Linked DNA regions of Arabidopsis thaliana. The protein of the gene in region 1 interacts with the protein of each later gene in a biochemical or structural test. Each region holds a gene or a part of one and is shown in the gene's direction. Other genes may lie near its edges. The genes, in order: RMA2 and ABP1.

What was found.
Region 2: the proteins of RMA2 (region 1) and ABP1 form a complex in vitro, tested with the Arabidopsis thaliana proteins (one study listed by BioGRID).

What each region holds. Positions count from the first base shown.
Region 1 is NC_003075.7:14,003,392-14,013,749, reverse strand, and holds RMA2 (RING membrane-anchor 2), read left to right. Parts: upstream 1-4,462; 5' UTR 4,463-4,949; intron 4,950-5,550; 5' UTR 5,551-5,554; coding exon 5,555-6,136; 3' UTR 6,137-6,275; downstream 6,276-10,358. Other genes in the region: AT4G28290 (uncharacterized protein), read left to right, coding at 1,286-1,408, 1,599-1,718; LLG3 (LORELEI-LIKE-GPI ANCHORED PROTEIN 3), read right to left, coding at 2,263-2,606, 2,737-2,793, 2,884-2,965; AT4G28260 (acyl-UDP-N-acetylglucosamine O-acyltransferase), read right to left, coding at 6,988-7,041, 7,130-7,261, 7,338-8,702. UniProt on the Arabidopsis thaliana protein: E3 ubiquitin-protein ligase that promotes the ubiquitination and proteasomal degradation of the auxin-binding protein ERABP1.
Region 2 is NC_003075.7:1,317,056-1,327,388, reverse strand, and holds ABP1 (endoplasmic reticulum auxin binding protein 1), read left to right. Parts: upstream 1-5,780; 5' UTR 5,781-5,939; coding exon 5,940-6,057; intron 6,058-6,439; coding exon 6,440-6,546; intron 6,547-6,635; coding exon 6,636-6,836; intron 6,837-7,232; coding exon 7,233-7,297; intron 7,298-7,381; coding exon 7,382-7,487; 3' UTR 7,488-7,786; downstream 7,787-10,333. Other genes in the region: AT4G03000 (RING/U-box superfamily protein), read right to left, coding at 41-574, 877-2,787; BSM (Mitochondrial transcription termination factor family protein), read right to left, coding at 3,606-5,231; AT7SL-1 (7SL RNA1), read right to left, coding at 8,210-8,320, 9,189-9,890. UniProt on the Arabidopsis thaliana protein: Auxin receptor that controls cell elongation and cell division. Involved in embryonic morphogenesis. Acts on the cell cycle, endocycle, cell plate formation, and cell expansion and contributes to the control of auxin-related gene expression.

The sequences.
Region 1 (10,358 bases):
GTCCACAATCACTGTGGTTGTTAATTGTTTTACACATGTAAGAGTAAAATAAGTTGTGGGCTTGTTGGTCTTGCGGCATGATCAATAATTCACGTTAAGATACGGATATGGACCGAATAAGTTTTGGCCGGTGAAAAAGTAGAGATATGTGGACATGATTATGAGATTGCGCAAACGATAAAGTCCTTCAAAAGTAATTTTAATTATTAAGAACCCATCCCTAAAGAGATATAGCCGCAAACTTTTTTCTTTCATTTGTATCCATACATCTTTAATCAAAACTTTATTAATCATATCATTATGATCCTATACGTCACCATAAGATGCTTTTGTACGATCATGTGTTAATAACTTATTCTACTACTCTGTTTTTTTCATAAATAGTGACCGGACGTAAAATATATAGAGACGAGTATTAAAACTTAACGAGATTGTGATGTCTTTATCAAAGAATAAATGTGTTCAACATTAAATTTGACGCAGAGAAATCTCACCAGAAAACCATATGGGACTTGTTAGGTTTGGTATCCACAAATCAGTTTACATCAATTTGCATTTGAGATATGCTCTCAAAGACAAATAATCAGATCCACTTGTTCAATGCCATTGTTCACCCGTCATTTAGTGTTTCGACCTTATCTTATGAACATTTCTTTTCTTGAACCTTATCTTATGAGCATACAATACCAACAGTAATAAACGAGAAATAAGAGGGGCATAATCGTCCAATACAAAGCTGACTTTTAACATTCTCAAAACACCAACTCATAGTTGCAACATTGTCCGGACACGTGGGTTACTTACCAACCAACGATGGACCCATTTTCATTTAACAGATCAACCAATCATGTTTCTCTTTGTGTGGTTCTGACTTCAAGGCTCAAAGTACATTTCTTTTTTTCTAATGCTTTGACCATACTAACCCCCTTATTTTTCACGCTACCCATTCTTACTCCAATTAAATTCTTCTAGAAGATAAATCATTCTATTCAAAAACGTTTACCAATGATCTTAGCTGTAATTAACGCAATTAAATCATGCTTAAGGTATTTAGAAAAGGGTAAAACGGTAACATACTTTATCGATACATAAATTGGTCAACTAGCGTAATTTAACTTTTGTCCCCATTGCGTATATAAACCGTCGACTATCGAAGCCAACACCTCAATTTTTCCCACATTTTTCTCTCATCTGCCTACGGTTGCAGATTTTATTTTATTAACACAGAAAAACAAAAAAAAGTATAAACAGAGTCCACGAATTTGGGAAAGTTTAAGATCAAGACATGAAGAAAACTGGAATCATCGCAGCCTCCATCTCTGTCGCGGCTTCTGCCACGGCGATCTCCGCCGGCTCTACCAACACCTCCGTGTCATTCTCTTCGCCGGAATCTAATCTCTCTCGTCAGGTAAAAAAAGAAGAATCAAGCTCTTGTTTATTTGTTTCTCGGTAGCATTTAAAGTTCCTCCTCTGTTTCAAGTACTCACAATAAGTTTCTCATAGTCAAAAATTTATCAAATTACAAAGTTGGAGAGTTTTTAACTTTTACATGGATTCGGATGTGTAAAGAATAATTTTTAGCTGCTGATTGTGGTTAGGAGGCAAAGGAAAAACAGAGGAAGAAGAAGGGTTCGTCGGAAGATGGGGGAGATGAGAAGTTTGCTCCAAGGTTTGATGGGTTACGATTCATCGAGACGCTTGTTACTGCTCACCGATAACATTTGCATTGTTCTGATTTGTAAGGGTTCTTATTGTTTACCCCATTTGATTAACTACAAAGATTTACTGATTTTAAGTTTCGTTTTTTTTCTTTCTTTCACATCACTATTGTAACTTCGGCTTAAAGTGTACCACCAAGACAAGAGGCATGATTTATGAGGTTCATGTTTCTTCTATTTGGTTTACCAAACATGTCTTCATAAATAAACTAGTGACTCTATATGGCCTAAGAGATTAGCTCAGCCCATTAATGACCAAACACACATGTTCTTGATCCACAAAACATGTTAGGAATGCTAGTGTTATGATGTGTACCAAACACACATGTTCTAGAATTATTATTCATTGCCTAGGATTGGAACTCGGAACTTAGTCATGCAATCCCTTGAGTTCCTTAAGGTCGACTGGTAGAGTTATCGACACCGGGCATAACGAATGATGTTAATGAGAGTGCAAACAAAAATCAAACATTTACATCTATGCTCACAAAGCAACTAACAATGGAATGCAATATATAACTCATATTGTAACATTTACAAGTCTTTAGAAGAGGTGAAACAAGATGGAAACGGTGATTAGCAAAACGTGTGTGGAAACAAGAGGGATCGATGCATGGGAAGATGATGTAGGGGTGACGTCGGTGCAATCGAGACCTTCTTTGCCTTCTTTGCACATGTTAGCGAATATTCCAGGAGGATAACGACCGTAGAGATTGATGTAGCTAAACATTGTGGAGGCACAATCTGTCTTTTCATCGTTAAGAACTTCCGCGAATGGGCAAGCAAAGTCCTTGAAGGCCGAACAACATACTTTGGCCGGGTAATTTGGTCCTTTGCATTTACTCGTTATGATTGTGTAATTCTTTGCCGCAAAATCTTCTTTGCATGCTGTTAAAATGTCATTAACGTAATGATCATGGAATATTTTGCTTATTAAGCTAATAATCATCAATGAAGCTTGTTTCTAAAACACATGATTACAATCAATGGTGTAAATTTTGGGAGTTATATTACTTACTTGCCTTTGCCTGAAGAAGAGCTCGGCTTGTGGATGGGTGTGACTCAAATTCATCAACTGCACATAGAAATGTCATAAATTATTTCAAAGAAACTTCAACAATATTTTTAATAAAACGAGTAAAAGTATTAGATAATTGTAATTTACGAGAGATGTGATGAGAGAAAGCGAATCCAGACAAAAGGAGGATAGAGAGAAGAGAAACCAAACAATGATGAGTAATCTTCATGTTTTTGTTTCCTCCTCTATTTTTTGACTTTTTGTCACATTTGAGTTTCTAATCGTTTCTTGTTTTTTCTTTTTCCTGTTTCCATTAGAGTTATAGGAGGAGAGAAAAATGCTGCGGATATAGCGGATCATAAATTAGAAGAAACAACATCAATTCAGTGACATGCCAAAACAAAATAACTAGTTACTATTTTAATCGATTGAGACAAACCATCAAAGTAACAAAAAGTTTGATAGAGAAAATGAATAGATTAATTTTGGTTCAACCACCACTGGTTAATAATACCCATAATAAATTGAGAACCGCCCATTTCTTGGCTCAGTTCTCCGGATCGTAAATGCAACTTGCTCCAATAATTTCATATGAGAATTTGAAAACATTATCATGAACGTGATATATATAATATTACATATACGTTTTTTTGCGCAAAACATATTATATATACATTTAAAACATTGAGTAGATCTTGTTCTAATGATGGTGAACACACACATTGTTTTTACATTGTTGGTATAGTAGTTTTTTTTTTTTAAAGTTCAATTTTCATTTTATTGGTTGGCCATATCCAAAAATGCTTTTCAATAATGAATATTGTGAATAAATTCGGAGGCACTCAAATTGGTGATTAATTTTGGATGATTGTCTAACTTGTTTCATCAAAAATGATCTATTCGAGAGTATTACAATTTACAAGTGAAGTTGTAGTTGATAGTAGACTTTTAGATATAGTAGTCGCAAATTTAAAATTAAAAAAAAAAAAAACTATTTTACATTACACTTTACAATTGATCAAAGATTCGGAGACATGAACCGTCTAACAACCTTACTTAAATTTGTATATAAGCAGAATCAGACATAATGGTGGTGAAGGACTCAACAAATACGAATTTAAGACAGTGTTTTATTATTTCAAGGAGTGGATTTTGGGTTGCCTTCTACAATTAATAGACTTGAAATTAAATACTATGGTCTGGTGACACCAATAGCTCCTTGCTTCCGTGACGTGTAACCTAATTATCTTTGTGGTCTATAAACTAATTCAACTATTGGTTGATAAGGCCTTTGATTAAGGCTTTAGTCGCAAACTTAGTATTCTCCAGTTCCAACTTTGAATAAACAACTTACCAAATTGCCATTGTTATTCACTCAACACCTAATAGTTACAATTTCCATAAAAAAAAAAGTAAAGTACCAAAATAAGCAGAATTTTCAAAATTACTAGCATTTTTTTTTTGTTTTTTTTTTCAAGTGAATTTGATGGAGTAACGGTGCAGCCATGGAGTGCCACGTCATCGAGCTTGGTTCAGTATCTACTATTGTGTTGCCAGAAACAGAAACTGCCAAATTCTTATCTTTTGTTTTTTTCAGAGCCAAATTCTTATCTTATGAATATGATATTGGGATAAAGTTATGGGGGAATTTTGCAATTTCTGTGTATATTTCCCCTACAAAAGTCATGGTCTCATGGACTCATTAGGGCATATTTCCAATTCATACTTTTTTTTCAACATACAATTTTATTCAAACTAAAATAAATATTTTTCTATAAATATATATTTAGTTGTGTATAAATAATTATATTATCTTGTTTACTTTTTTTTAAAACGATGCTATCCGTTGCTGACCTTTTCATGAAATAAAGACAGACATGTAAGAAAAAAAAGATGAATGGCGTTTCGTTACTTTATCTACTTATTTTTAATTAGGTAGACGTTTCTTCCTCTTTAAAATCATAACTTGTCCGGATTTTAATTTTGCACACCTTAAGAAAATAAGAATAAAAATAATTGTGTATGTGTGTATAATAAGGTCTCCTGCTTCTGCACCACCCTCGATCTAAACATTCTTACCCCATTCTCTTAACCCAAATAAATCATTTTCTCTGTTCTTCTGCCATTGTCGCATGAACCTGTACAAGCTCTCTCAAGTTTCCAAAGGCTTAAAGACAGAAGAGATCCATCGGTACTTACAATCTTTCCAAAGAGTACGTTTCTTTTTTCTGGAATCATCACTCTTATTATATATTGTTGCGTGTGTCTATCTAAAGGCATCGAATTAGTAGTAGATCTGCACCGTTTTTGAGTTGCTACGCAAGAAGATGATTGTTTTCGATATACCATGTCATTTTTTAAAGGATCATAATATCACTTGTTTGTTTAATCAACCACTCCTTTGTCTTTAATTATTTAGCTTTTTTTCTTAAACAATAACGTGCTTTGGGATTAAGTGAAAACAGAGCAAAGCGTCGGAAACAGAAAGTGATTAGGTCAAGTCTTCGTAACTTCAACTTGTTAAAGAATATGATCCTTACTTTTTTGCGTCTAATCTTCTTCTTTTTTTTTTTTGGTTAGTGTAAGTTTTAAATTCAAGATCGATCATGCTAAGTATATACACAACAATTCTGTTATAATCTATATTGATCTTCATATTTTGATGATATTTCTTGTTTCTATGAAGTATCATTGATTTTATAAATCTCTAATTGGAATTAGACTTTAGTATTTACTATTTACTTATTTAGGTGAAATCTCATTAAATAAACAACGACTGGTCAAGTGAATGGTTGTTTGTCTTGTATGTTTTAGTAAAATGGAGATTGAGAAGGATGAGGACGACACAACATTGGTTGATTCTGGAGGAGACTTCGACTGCAACATATGTTTGGATCAGGTTCGAGACCCGGTCGTGACTTTATGTGGCCACCTGTTTTGTTGGCCCTGCATTCACAAGTGGACTTATGCGTCCAACAATTCAAGACAACGAGTCGATCAATACGATCATAAGAGGGAACCACCAAAATGTCCGGTATGCAAATCTGATGTCTCCGAGGCTACGCTTGTCCCGATCTACGGACGAGGACAGAAAGCTCCCCAGTCCGGTTCAAATGTACCGAGCAGACCAACTGGTCCGGTTTATGACTTAAGAGGAGTTGGTCAACGTTTAGGAGAAGGGGAGAGTCAACGTTACATGTATAGAATGCCTGATCCGGTGATGGGTGTGGTATGCGAAATGGTATACCGGAGACTATTTGGAGAGTCTTCGAGCAACATGGCACCTTACCGCGATATGAATGTCCGGTCTAGGCGACGGGCAATGCAGGCTGAGGAGTCATTAAGCAGAGTCTACTTGTTTCTACTTTGCTTCATGTTTATGTGTCTATTTCTCTTCTAATTATAATATATATGTGTATATAATATACCAATTGGAATGAGTATGCATATATGTAATAACAATTTGTATATTTTTAAGAGTCTTGAATCGTTGAAATTGTATGATGAGCATATAATAACGTCCAAAGAAAGAAACGACACCAAATGGCTTCTTCTTTATTCGATATATCATGGGATGATGTGGGAAGATGAGAGCATGGGTTAAAAAGGAGGCTTATCTTCAACTCAAATAGATTTGTGCTCCAAAAAAGCTGATAGTGGCATTCGAATGCGACGCAAATGGTGTTGCTTATGTCGGATTACAATCGTTTAAAACCAAACCAACTTTTACAAAAAAAAAGAAAAAAAAAAGTGAGAATAGGGGGCCCTAGATTTGATTGATAACGGCGAATCGAATACGACTGTTAGATAAAGAAGTAGAAACATTAATTTGCAGTACGAGTCTTTCTTTATACATTAAAAATGTTGCAAAGAAAATTGGTAAAGTGATTGGAGTGAGCTGGTTTCATTAAAAGCATAGACTAGTATGAGATGAGTTCATGGCCTTATGGGTCGGGTCCGATCGAGACAATCCCTCATTCATGGGATCGATTTTTTCTATCTGCAAAAGTTTTAATTTAATTTGCCTATTTCCACTTCTTATAGGTTTTAAAAAGTTCGAATTTCCTTGTTGGTATCTATACAGTTTTAAGTCATAAATCTCTAGACAGGAAAACAAGTTGAGACAAAAGAATAAATTGGGCTTCAAAGTAATCATCAGATAGTAAGAAAGTAAATGTAAATTTACAGTGAACTGTAAAATGAGAGACGAAGCCCTTATTTACACAAGAGGAAATGAGTATGTTTCCTACATTACAACTCCACTCGGTAGAAGCGAACCAGTTTCATCATCTGCACTCTCTCCTCCTGCATCATCCACATTTTGATCTCTCTATTTACCACCAAGTTTGTAACACGACAATAAAAAATGGATACGAGGTGCAATAATATTTACCTGAACCGGAATCTGTTCCGTCTCCTCAGCCTGCTGCGGAAAATGAAATCCGGTTGAGCAATTCTTCAATCTCTCCGGATTTTTAACCCATGCTTTTCTACCTTCACTCACTTTCACCTGGAACCTCCATGTCTACCACATCGACATATACGTTAGGTTCAAACCCGTTAAGAAAAACGCTATTTGAGTGAATCAAACACATATATACCTGAGAAAGTGGAAACGTGTCTCTCTCAATCACAGCTCCTTCGATATTTATGCCAGTGCCTTGGCATTCTGGACAGAACACCGAAAATATTTGCCAGCTCACATCGTTTGCCAACTCATTCCACTTTACACCAGTCTGACCACTATGCTTTGTGCATCTCTTTTTTCCTTTTCCACTCACCATCTTGTTCCCAAGTATTTCACTCTCACAGAAGAGAAACCAGTGTACGACACACGACACATGAAATAGATGAAACGCCCCCAGGAGGTTTCTGCTGCCACAAGCAAGATTTCCCGTCTTCATGTTTAGTATTGCTGCCGCATCTTTCCCTGGAAGCATCTTTTGTTTACAGACTTCGCATATTCTTTCAGAAAATATTCGTTGTTGCCTCCTCAGCTCCCGTCTTACCGTTCTGTTCTTCACGACTCTTTTGCTCATGAGACTATCATCATAATCAGCTATTAGATCTCTTGACGAGTTTGAATTATGACCTGAAGAAACCTCCTCAGAAGAGTCATACTGATTACACAGAGATTCACTGGTGTCCTCTGGATCCGAGAAAGACTTCTTTCTCTTCCTGCCACTGTCCTCACCATTCCCTGATTCTGACTGACTAGATGTGAGAAGACGGCCCGGATCATCAAGCAAACCCAGCCTACCCAAATTGTAGAAGTAGGAGAATGTGACAATGGCAAAGTCATGCTCCGGGATCGTAGCCTTCTCCTCATCTGAAGGACCCTCGTCTCCTAACCACTCGCACCATAGTTTATCAATCCAAGTTGTGCGTCCTTTCGTTTCAAACAACCTGGCAGCTATTCGGCCAAAACCAATGAACTTTGCTTCAACATCAAGAGTTCTCTCCTTGATCAGCACACCAGAAATTAGCAGATCATCTGCAGCGTGACTAGGTTCATCATCAGTAACTGCAGCAGGCACATTATCTCCATTTGTTTTGTTGTTATCATACTTGACAATAGCAAATCTTTCATCATCACTACAATGCTCCAACGTATCAGGAACCCCTTCACCACCAGAAACTGGAGATTTCTCTTCTTCTTCTCCAGTTGAACTATCAAAGAAAAGTACACCATCACTGAAAGGCCAAGGATTCGTTCCAAGAAGTGTGATCCTAGCACATGCCAATCTCTCCTTGTGAAGGTTTCCATTCAAGTGCCCAAGCAAGATTGTGTCGCTGTAGCAAGGAGCAAGACACAAAGTGCAGAAGAATACAAAACGTTTCCCATCCTCACGTAGCTCAATGTAAGTATGCCCTTGTAACCTCAGATTCTTCAGAGTAGTTCTTGCTAATTGCTCTTTCAAATTAATACTAGGCTTTGGTAACCCTAATTCTTTCTTCTCAGCCATTCAGAGATCCAACAGACACAAACAACTTCACGACTCAACAAACCCTAAAAGAAAACCCCCAATTCCACAATCCTAAGAAGTTTCAGAGTACAAACACAATCTTCTAAATTCTTCACCAGAAAAGATCACTTACCTAAAATAAGACTACACAAGACGCTACAGGTAATCACAGCTTCGATTGGATCTGGAAATTCAGATGCAAAGGAAAAACAAACGGAGGAACTACTAAAGGGAAGAGGAAGAGTCGAATCAACAGAGTTTACTTCCACATATTCGAGGCGTATTCGGAACAGGACTTGTAGGAGATGGTTTCATACGAACACCGGCAAAAAGGTCAACGCGAGACATGGAACGATGAAGATGGAGAGAAGAACGCGAGTCCAACGCCGCCAACATTTCCATGTATTTCACGCGGAACTCGCGAGCACAAATTTCTCTCTGAGGAATTCGAATTGACCGGAGAACGGAGAAGAAACGACGGAGACTTTGTTTTGTACAGAGCGGTGGTTTCTTGTTAAAAGAAGAAAGAACGAAAATGGTTTAACCGAAATTGAAGAAAAGCTTGTCTCCTCTTTTTACTCGTGGAAATTAATTCTTGTATTTAAAGTATTCACGGAAAGCATGTGTGTATCAATTATTAACCGTTGGATTTTAGATGGACGGTGGAGATCTACTTTTTAGTTTTATTTTTGTCGTCTAGTTTCTTTTTATTATTGGTGTGAGATTCGAATTTTCTGAAAAGAGATACCATGTCCCGCTGGGATGGATAAACTTCAACATTAGTTTATTTTGTTAAGAATTAAATGAGAAACTTATTCCTCATTATTTTATTTCGACTCCTTAGCTTTTTATATCTTTCGATATTCAACCCCTAACTTTAGTTATATTCTTCATTTGACCACACATCTTGTATTGATTGACACAGGCAACCTTGTTTTTGTTGTGTAGGCCTAAGTTCATGGCTACAGAACATAATTCTTGAAGATTAAAATGCTAATGGTGTTCACAAGGAGGAGTTTAACATTTTCTAATCTTTTTTGTTACCTTTCAAATAGAAATCTCATATACTAGGATAAGTATACATATTTCAGTAATCATATAACAAATATTTACCGCTGAAGTCATCAAACTTATATATCTGTGTTAGTGTGTGTAGTAGATAAAGCTACATATTTGCAACCTGATCATTGGCTGTTGTTGCTTGCTGTGAGAATATTGGTTCAAGTCCATCTGGTTTAGTATTCGTTTCTGGTTTAAAGAGCTAACCGAGTGGAGCTAAAACTACTAAACTAGGTTACAATTTGGGCTGAAATAGATTGTTAGGCCCAAACAGAGAAGAGCCCAGGTGAGAAATTTTAACGGCTTGTAACAGACCACAACGAGAAATGAAGCAGAGTATTGTCTTCATTTCAAGTTTCAACCTTCGTTTTGATTCTTACTATAATATCTATGACAAGAAATCTGTCTCTTAGTAAGCTCAAGGAAATACTCATTATGAAGAGACAGGAGTATAGGATCAATCCTGATAATGGTGAAGCTCATCAACGATTTGTTACCTCTTTAATAACTATGTGAAACTAAGTTCTACTACATGATTTCGTTTATTATTTTGAAATCAAAGACTAACGCAAAATGTTGAATTGTATAAAGTCAATA
Region 2 (10,333 bases), about 13 Mb from region 1:
AAAACCTTCATTGCCATATTGATTCAAAACCCAAGCGCTTTTACCCGCGAGCAAAACGAGCCTGAATCCTCCTCTGGATTTTGGCTCGACAAGACGGGCAATCTTCCATGGCTTCCTTCTCATGAAGCTGGTTACATTTAGAGCAAAGAACCTGATGGGCACAAGGCAAGAATATCACACTCATCTCTTCAGACAAACACATCACACATTCCCTCTCTCTTTTGATTTTCGACTCTGCCCCCTGATTATTCTCCCATACTTTTGCTGATGCCATCGAGTTTGCCTTTGTGTTGGTGGTATGATTCATTCCACTCTTGTTACCGTCATTGTTTCCGTCTATGCCTTTTTTCAAAGCAGCTATCTTCAAGCTGTCTGACTTGAGTTTCAGCTTTGAGATCTCAGTGTCAAGTCTTTTGATGTTCTCAATGTAGTATTTCACATCGTTCTCTGCTTTTGTTTTGATCCGCTCTTCTTCTGCTTTTCCGAGTTCTTCCAGTTTCCCTCTCTCTTTCTTTAATGCAGCTGCTTGAGCAGTGAGTTTCCCCGTCGCTGACTTTTCTTGTTTCCAAGTAGCCTGCAACTTAGTTTCATTAGTCATCTTGATGATAGCTACCACACTTAGACTACAATCAGTTACTAGTACAATACTATGGTTAGTTCTTGATTTAAAGAACACGGCACAAGAAGTATAAAGGTAGACTCTCAGATGTAAACATATTATCCCTCCAATTTCTCTAATTCCTTAGAAATGAAATGATTACCTGAAAAAAGAATTGTAGAGGAAATGATATGATCAGTTGTCATACAATAAATTACAGCTCCGAAGACGAGAAGACCTAAAACGTGCAAAGGCATTTTGCCTACAAAAGAGCTAACCTCAATTTGGTTTTGGCGGGTTTTTGCCTTGGCAACTTCTTGCTGCAGCCCTGCCACCTTGTCTCTTTGACTCTTGAGCTCTTCCTGCAGTAAATTTTTTTGCCCTTCCCACGATTGAGAATTCTTCAACAATCTTTGCACTCTCTCCTTTGCTTCTCTACAGCTCTCAGCGGACTCGGAAGCTCTTATATTAGCAGCTTCCCTCTCTCTCTTTAACAGAGATTGTTCCAGCTCGAGCCTGCGAATTGTGTTGTTAGTTCTCTCAAGCTGGTTGGTTGCGTTATTCAAGGCCAACTCCATTTCAGATCTCCTTTTAATAGTGTTTTCTTCCAATAACTGCTTCTCTTTTCTGAACTCTTCTGCCTCTTCTTTCTCTTTTCTTAGTGCCTTAAGCTCTGGTTGGTCCTTAAGAAGTCTAACAGTAGCCTGTTTTACTTTCTGATTAGCCCAGTCAGTCCAATCCTGCAATTCTTTCTGCAGATCTTTCATTCGGGGAACTAGCTTTAAAATCAATTCATCTCTTTTATTCCGGGGAATATATATTCCCAGAGTTGCATCGTATGGGATTGCAGCATAGTAATCTGGTGCTGGTTTCGTAGACACAGAAGGCTTTTCTTCAGGCTCAGAACCGGACTTCTTTTCTGAAGCTACTGGTGCTGGAGCATTATTAGCAGGTAATGCAGTAACATGCTCCTTAACATCTAATGCAGGCGAATCTGACTTAGTACTGTTTGAGAGAGTGCTGCTACTCTCAGCTAAAGGAATTTTCATAACCTCTGTTGTAATCTTTGATGAAGAATTTCTTGCCTGTGCGGAAAGTAAATCAGAAGCTGATTTGCCTCTTTTCTCCACAAGGAAACCACCAAACTTTGCCGTCTTATAGCCACCGCCTTTGCTATAAGTTCTAATCTTCTCCACGCATGATTTCTGCCGTAGCATGGCCATTTCTTTTTTGGTGCGGCCTTTTCGACAAGATACTAATTTTTCATCAGAAACAGAAGTCAGGGATGCACTTTTAGTGCCTTCACCAGAAGCAGTGGAAACAGAAAATACCTCTTTTCCAGGTGTTGCTCCACTAGCATGAGGATTTTTGGAGTTGTTTACATTTGCGAAGTTCCCAAATTTGACTGGCTCACTCTGCTTGCTTTGAGTATTGGATACTGGAGCCTTTGGGTTATCTGCGTCACTGGATTTTGGAGGATTACACTCAGCAACTGGAGATTCCGATGATTTACTAGCATTGGAAACCGAAGAGCCCTCCAATCCATCTGCGTCCACTTCAAAAGCTTTCAAAACATTCAAGTCACAAATCAACAGCCTCCACATAGCTTCGTCCGTTGAAAGCGATGGTCTAACCTCCCTAACAAGACTTATCTTCTCTACCAAACTATACGCAACAAGCTGTTGCAAATCCTCAAACACATAGTCTCTGGAACCAGCAACTTTTTTGCCACTCTTCAAAAAACTCAAGGTATCGTTAACAATATTAGACACGAGATCAGTTCCACCACAGTAGAACCTACTGCTTGAAATAGCTTTGAGAACAACATCCTCACTATACCCACAATCCATAATCTGATTCATTGCACTACGAAAGAGCGTGAGCAAATTTGACGATAATAGTCCTTCAAGGTGACAAGCAAACGGATCATCCCATCCCACAGAATCAGACTCTTCGGCTTTCAGCTGCCCGTTGGAGTCATTTTCACACAAAGGGCTTTGAGATTTGAACGAATGTAACTCATATCGAGGGAACTCAGTCAAAGAAGCAGCATTTTGTGGAGAAGGATCAGCTAACTTTCTCTTGTTCTTCCTTCCTTTATCTTGCGGTGGTGACACTGAAGAAGACGTCCCCACTTTCCCACCATTGACAGCACCAAACTCATTCATTTCTTCTTGCTTCTCAACCATTAAGCAATAATTCCCTGAGATTATGATTGTTTCCAAATTATAAACACAGAGATAACAAAAATGATTCAATAATTCAAGTATTGAATAAGCTTTGAGATAATCCCAAATTCCAGTAGCAAACTTTTCATGAAAACACCAAAACAATCGGCAAAATTCCAGAAACTAATTAAATTCCCAGAACAAATCAACACAATTCCACACACGATTTCTCAAACATAGCAGCTCAATCAGAATGCAATCGAATCAGGATAAAAAACCAAATCGTTTGATCATTCAACCAAATAACAAAACACGGTGCCGCAAACTGACCGGAAACGCAAGAAACCGCGGGAAGAAAAAAAGACGATCGGAAGAGAATTCGATGAGAGATAGGGATTGATGAATATATATATATATATATTAAGAGTGTTGTTGCAGAGAGCGAGAGGGCACTGTGATAAAGAGAACAAGTGCGTGGCTACAAGACGAAGAAGGAGCCCAACAAAATTGATCGTGAGCTTTTATTTTCTTTCTTTGGGTAACACAAAAGAGGGTTGGTGCTTAGGAAAAAAAAAATCATAATTACTGATTTGCCCCTGAGGGTATTTTAGTCATTACAATTTCTGGTCCATATTGTTCTGATTTCAACAACATGATGAACAAAAGAATCGATGACAAGGATGGATAAGAGAGAATGCTAATCTGATCAACAAAGAATCTGTTCGAAAATTCAAAGTAAATCATTCATTCTCCTCTCATGATGATGATACATCAAGACATGAAGCTTGTTCTTCGATTCATTGTCTGTATTTGGACCTTTTCTTTGTTGAACTCCGGGTTTATGCAAACTCCTCGTCGTCATCATCTTCTTCTTCCTCGTACTCGGAATCAGATTCCTCCTCTCTTTCAGGTTGCATCAATGTATTCATGTCAAAAGAAGATGGATCAGTTTCTACCTCTTCTATATCTATTGTGTCGTAGCTCATTCTCTGTTCGAACTTCTCATCTGAACAGTTTAGCATCCAAGCCAATGAACATTTGATTCCCTTCTTGATTATCTTCTTGTGTCTCGGCTTTACCGTGGACTCAAGCCCATACGTAAAGAATGCGGGGAAATCCACAAGGTCTTGAAGAGGTCTTTTCATTTCCTTTTGGAAGTACTCAAAGCTGAGTTTCATTATTCCGAGGTTCAAAGCCAGAACCTGAGGACACCCGATTACCATTTCCCTTGTTTGGTCTATCGAAAATCCACACTTGGTAAGGAAATCAATGTGCTTTAACATAGGAGACTCGCTGAGACTAACAAACTGCGGCATTCTCTCGATCAAAGAGCCAAGATCCTCTGGATTTAGATGAATGGCTGAACAAAGTAGCTTCCTCTGTGTGTCGAGCTTAGGTTTAAGGTCGATTCCGATGATTTCAGGATACTGCGCAATTATAGAAGGAAGAGATGTTTCTCTGACATTGAAATCTTGCAGGATTTGCACGTTTGGTTTCACCGTATCATCCAATTCAAACCCGAGTATGTGAGGCCGCTTCTCTATCAACCTAGCTGCAGCCAGTCTCGGAATACCAAGAACCTCGAGATACTCCACGAGAGGCTTAATTATCCGAGCTACCCGCATTCCCAAAATCTCAGGGTACCGTGTTAAAATACCCCCAATCTCCCTCCTAGCTACACCTATACCAACCAAATAAGCGACTGATGTGCTCATAGTCCCTTCCAGCTTAAACCCCAAAACTTCTGGATACCTCTCAAGCACCCGAGGTACATCACTCGGTTTAATATCCAGTCCTTGAAGATACTTAACCACCGGTGCAAGATCTATAACAACGCTAGAGTGAAGAACCTGCGGGTATCTTCTAAGAAACTCAGTGAAAGTCGATTTCCTGACGCCTAGTTTCCCGAGATAATCAAGAACCGGAACCATGTTCTTCTTCACGCTACAACCAAGAACAAGAGGGTAATTGTTGATATCTTCAATGGTAAGCCCTAACTTGTGAAGAAACTCGACACGCTCTTTCATCACATCAGCTGTTACAGGGAGTTCAAGGCCATCAAGCTCATCAGGAACAATCCCAATCCCACGCAAGAACTCATAAACCTTAGCACGATTAGCAGCTTTCTCCTTATTCATATCTAACAAACTAGGACGACTATACAAAGACTTAGAATCTCTTCCCTTATCCTTATCTCTATCCCTATCCCTTCCCGAAGAAGAAGAAGAACGAGAAGACCTTTCTCTTCTCGGTGAATCCAAAGAACGTGAAGAAAATCTCCGATTTGCAATAGCGCATTGAACAGTTAGACCAATTCCAGTCCCAGGTCTCTTCTTGTGGTTGCATAAGTTGCCATAAGTGGAATCAGAGAGTGAACGAGATCTAACGGCAAAAAAAGATGGTGGCTCAAAGTGAACTAGCAAAAACCCAGGCTTTGTGAAGCCATTACAGAACCTAATCTTCATTCTTTACCTGCACAAAAACGGAACAACACTAAAATCGACGATTATCAACGAGAAAATCATACCAATTCGGACTAACCCAGACAATTTTACAGTACAATTAGCTCAGAAAACTCCGAAAAAATACCATCATTCATGTTCATGTTAACATCAACGAACCAAAAAACCATAACCTAACTAGAAGCAAACCACAGAAACTATGGAATAAGGAGAATTGGACCAGCGTGTGATTGAAATCTCACCGGAGCTGAGGAAAGATATCGGAGAAGACGAGGGTTTTAGAGGAGCGGGTAAGGTTTTTTCCTCATCACACAACAAAGTCACTCTCTTTCTCCATTGAAATGATTTATCCGAATTATTGACGTTCTCCCCCTTATTTCTTATATTTCCCATTATTGCCCTATACTATCTGAAATTATCACATTAAACCAATACGTATATGATTACTTTGGATGTGATATAAATTAATAAAAAAACTATATATCATCAAAACTTTCTCTTAATATTTCTAAAATTAATTAATTCCCTCCTTTTATCTTCAACATTGGATTATCGAAAATGAAAAATAGTATTTTCTGACTCTTTTTTATAGTATCGGGTTTAATTCAGAAATATATAAAGCTTTGGGGTCTGTTTCGAAGTATCTTTACTCTTTTAACAGTTCTGAGACTTCTAAAGAGAGGAAAATTAGTTCGTCGAAGCATCGAGAAAATGATCGTACTTTCTGTTGGTTCCGCTTCTTCATCTCCGATCGTCGTCGTCTTTTCCGTCGCGCTTCTTCTGTTCTACTTCTCTGAAACTTCTCTAGGAGCTCCTTGTCCCATCAATGGTGCGTTTCGCCTGTTTTCATCCCTACTCGCCATTAGATTGTATCTAGTTATATTGTGAATGCAGATTTCATCTTGTTTATCTATGTATCAGTGATAGAATCTAAGGTCTTAGTTAGCTGTGAAATCGTATGTCCTGGTAGAATCAGATGGACCAAAATGTGCTGAACTTGTGATTGATTTTAACTCTAAATTAGGTTTATGGAGGTGTTTCAGAATGCTTCATAGTGAATTTGGTTGCTGATATGGTACAGATTCGCTGCAATTTCATCGATCTGTAGCTTATTAGAGGATCCAAAATTTGTTTAGAAATGCTTACATAGCTTAAATACTTAGAAATTGTGATGTTAATACTGGTTCTTGACTCTTGAATGGTGATTCTAGGCTTGCCAATCGTGAGGAATATTAGTGACCTTCCTCAGGATAACTATGGAAGACCAGGTCTTTCCCACATGACTGTTGCTGGCTCCGTATTGCATGGAATGAAAGAGGTAATGTTCAAAGCTGATAGAGGTTTAAAACTCTTTCCATTGGTATCCGCTCGGCTCTTATCTGTGTTTTTTCATGGTTGGATGTTCAGGTTGAAATATGGCTTCAGACATTTGCTCCAGGTTCAGAGACACCAATTCACAGGCACTCCTGTGAAGAGGTTTTTGTTGTCCTAAAGGGCAGTGGTACTCTGTATCTCGCTGAAACACATGGAAATTTCCCTGGGAAACCAATCGAATTTCCAATCTTTGCCAACAGTACAATTCATATTCCGATCAATGATGCTCATCAGGTATCTCTTTCTACCTCCCACATCGTTTCAGATGACTTGGCTCTTTCCTTGATTCTTAGAGTTTGAAATCCTAGATTGTTAGAGTTTCCCCTTTAATTGTAATCTTGATTGAGGGCAAAAGAAACTCCATGTAAGGCTGATGATAAACAATCCAATTTCGTATGCAACAGATGTTAGTTGAGCAAAAACATACTATTATGTTTAAGATTGCTTGAGAGTGTTAGAGGTGCCGCAGGTCCTATGTCACATGTAGAGACAATTATTAGAAAACTGACCTTTTCGCTAACGTTGTGTATATTCTTATGAATCAGTGAAAGATGACGTTTTCTTCTGCTAAAATAACTTTTGTGTTATCTTATGAAACTAGCTCACAATCATCTATTACGGTTCTTACAGGTCAAAAACACCGGTCATGAGGACCTGCAGGTGTTGGTTATCATATCTCGGCCGCCTATTAAAATGTATGTAACATCCTTTTTGAGGAATTTGCTTATAGATCATTATGTGTAGATGTATCCTTTTACTAATCGTTTGTTTTTAAATAGCTTCATCTACGAAGACTGGTTTATGCCACACACTGCTGCAAGGCTGAAGTTCCCTTACTATTGGGATGAGCAATGCATTCAAGAATCACAAAAAGACGAGCTTTAAAGCAAAGTCCGAGGCTAAAAGCAAGCACAACCTTTAGATAGTAAAATCATAGTTGAGGTTTTGTGACACTACGTAGATACTGGTAAATTGGCAAGGATTTTACATGAATGTTGTTGTTACCAGAAAGTAAATAAATGTTCAATCTTTGATGTTCTTAAGTAAGTGAGTCCTATTGGTCATGAAAATATGTAAGTGTGCACATCTTGATTGCATTTGCGATAAATTTATAGAGTTTCACTCACTTTTATTTTCCTCTTCTATATTCAAATCATAGCTCTTCGAAGACAAGAGGACATCAGAATCATAGCTTTTTTTGTGTCTTGTCTTGATATATATATACCTCTTCGAAGAAGTTGATGATGCAGTCGTTTATTTTGTCTCCATGTGAGAAAGTGATCAATGACACTCACAAATCTAGTAGTGGCTGAATTGGCTCGATGTTAAATGCAAACTAACGAAGTCTCATCAAATAATAACTCTTCTTCTTGCATTTGCTTTCTTTGCCCCTTTCTCTCTTCTTCCATCTCAAATCTGTCTCTTCAATATTACTATTGGGCTTTTGGTTAGTCTATAATGGGACTCAAAATAAGGCTTTGGCCCACATCATAAAAGATAAATTCACAAATCAAAACTAATTTTCAGAGTCTTTTGTCCCACATCGGTCAATCTACTCGTTTTGTGTTTGTTTATATATTACACGAAACGATGTATTCAACGTCGAGCTAAGTAACAATAGCTTGTAACCCATGTGGGGACATTAAGATGGTGGGACACTGGTTCGGTTCCTCGGATCGGTTCTGATGTGGGCATGTTTCTGAGCTGCCCAGTCCAAGCTGTGAGTAATTAGTGTTGAGTTGAGCGAAGGCTTGGCTCATGCAGGTTCTAGAGTCGGAGGGTAATGCGTGAGGCTGGCTTCACAGAGCAGCGACTACTTCCCGCTTACAGCAGTGGACGGATCACGGTTTAGCGTCGCTCAGAACCACTATGGCCTGCTGGTCCGATCTCATATGAACCACCATTTTTTTCCCTCTTTTGATTTTTGTTTTCCAAAACTTTCTACGCTTTTTGTTTATATTTTAAGAGGGAACAAAAGCAAACTTTGAACAAAGCAAGAGAATGACTGATTCTCTTTCAATACTCTGTTTTTGTGTATAAGAAAATACCCTTCTTGAGGCAGCTTTTACTCACCTTCCTCTTCAATCTTCATCAACTCGTTTCTCAGTTCTTTCACGTTATCGTTCATTAGTTGCAGAGTGTTTTGACGCAATTAGTATTTTGATTGTTTTTTTGGTTAAGTTTTTGAGTAAAGCAAGAGACTTTACTGTCTTTCTGCCCTGTTTTATCAACAAAGATTCAACATTTGATCTTCATACTTGTTGCTGTAACTAGACATTGAAAAATACCAAAAGAAATGTGAACTAGACCACCCGATCGTAATGTTTTCTAGAGAATGTACAGAGCTAATTTCGAAAAGATGTAACTCAAGAAGAAAGCTATGAACTTACATGTCTTAGCATATTTGAAGAAAGCTATGAACTTTGAACAAAGCAAGAAAACTTGAAGAAAGACTAAAAACTAGGTATGAGAAAAGAGGAGACTGCAAAAAGGCACGAGTCTACGGATAATCTCAATTGTATCGCCATCAGCAACACGGTTCCACTTGAATGACTTAGTTTCGGTCAATGGTAACTCACTGCTTACCAAGTGAAACGCTTCGTGAGGCAGATTTAACTCACCCCTCTCTTGCATCTTAACCAGCTCTTTCCTCAGTTCTTCGACGTTATCATCTGCGTTAACCTCTACATGAATCATCCTGGTATCTTCTTGATATGGCTTCACATGTACTGTAAACTTCATCGGGTTGGTCTTGATCTTCTTTTCCACAGGCGAATCTGAATCTCTAAGGACCTCTTTGGCTGTGCCTGACGTTGAAGCTTGCTCGGTGGGTTGAACCACTTGATTTGTTCTGCCTCCAACCGCCACAGTTGCTGAATATTTAGGGCCAAGTAACTCATCAAGTGAATAAGCCGGTAGTGATGAATATATATTGTGGACTCTCCTCGCCATCACCCTCGTGATCTTTTTGCTCTCCGATGAATCTTGAATGCCACAGAACTCTTGTTTCTTATCATCAATTTGTTTTGATTGCTCGGTTTGCTCGTTGCTCTGATTAGGGTCAGCATCAGGAGAGATGCGGAGAAGGAGACGAGATTCGAAGAGGATCATGTAATCAATCTTATGAAGATCATCTTCAAGAGCCTTGCCATCCAAGTAAAGGATTTGTTTCGAAACAGGGATACCTTGAGACTTCTCGATCTTCTCTTTTATCTCTAACACTGTTTCGCCGAAATCAATAGTAATGGAGAACGATGAGCCAGTCTCAGTATCGATGTACACGTTCATCGTTGTAGTTTCAAGATCAGTGGAGAGAGACTAATGAGGAAGAGAGAAAGAGAAACTGATGATTTGTGACGAGAGTTTGCTAATTTCGTGATTTGGCTTAAATATCACTAGTCAAAGAATTCTAACCGTCGATTTCTCTCCTTACTGATATGATCCAACGGTTATTAGTCGCAGAGTGTTTATAAGCAAATTAGTAATGTGATTTTTCTTTGGTTTTAGTTTTTGAATAAAGCAAGAAACTTTACTGTCTTTTGCTCTGTTTTGTCAATAAAGATTCTATTGAGGATATGATTGATATCCTAGATTGCTACTGTCATGGATACACATATGTAAAGTCGTATATATTCTCATTCATTACGTTGATGTACCCTAGCTACTCACTCTTGTATATATATTGTGATTCTCACTATGTAATGAAATCATCTCTTCTATAAACATCTATA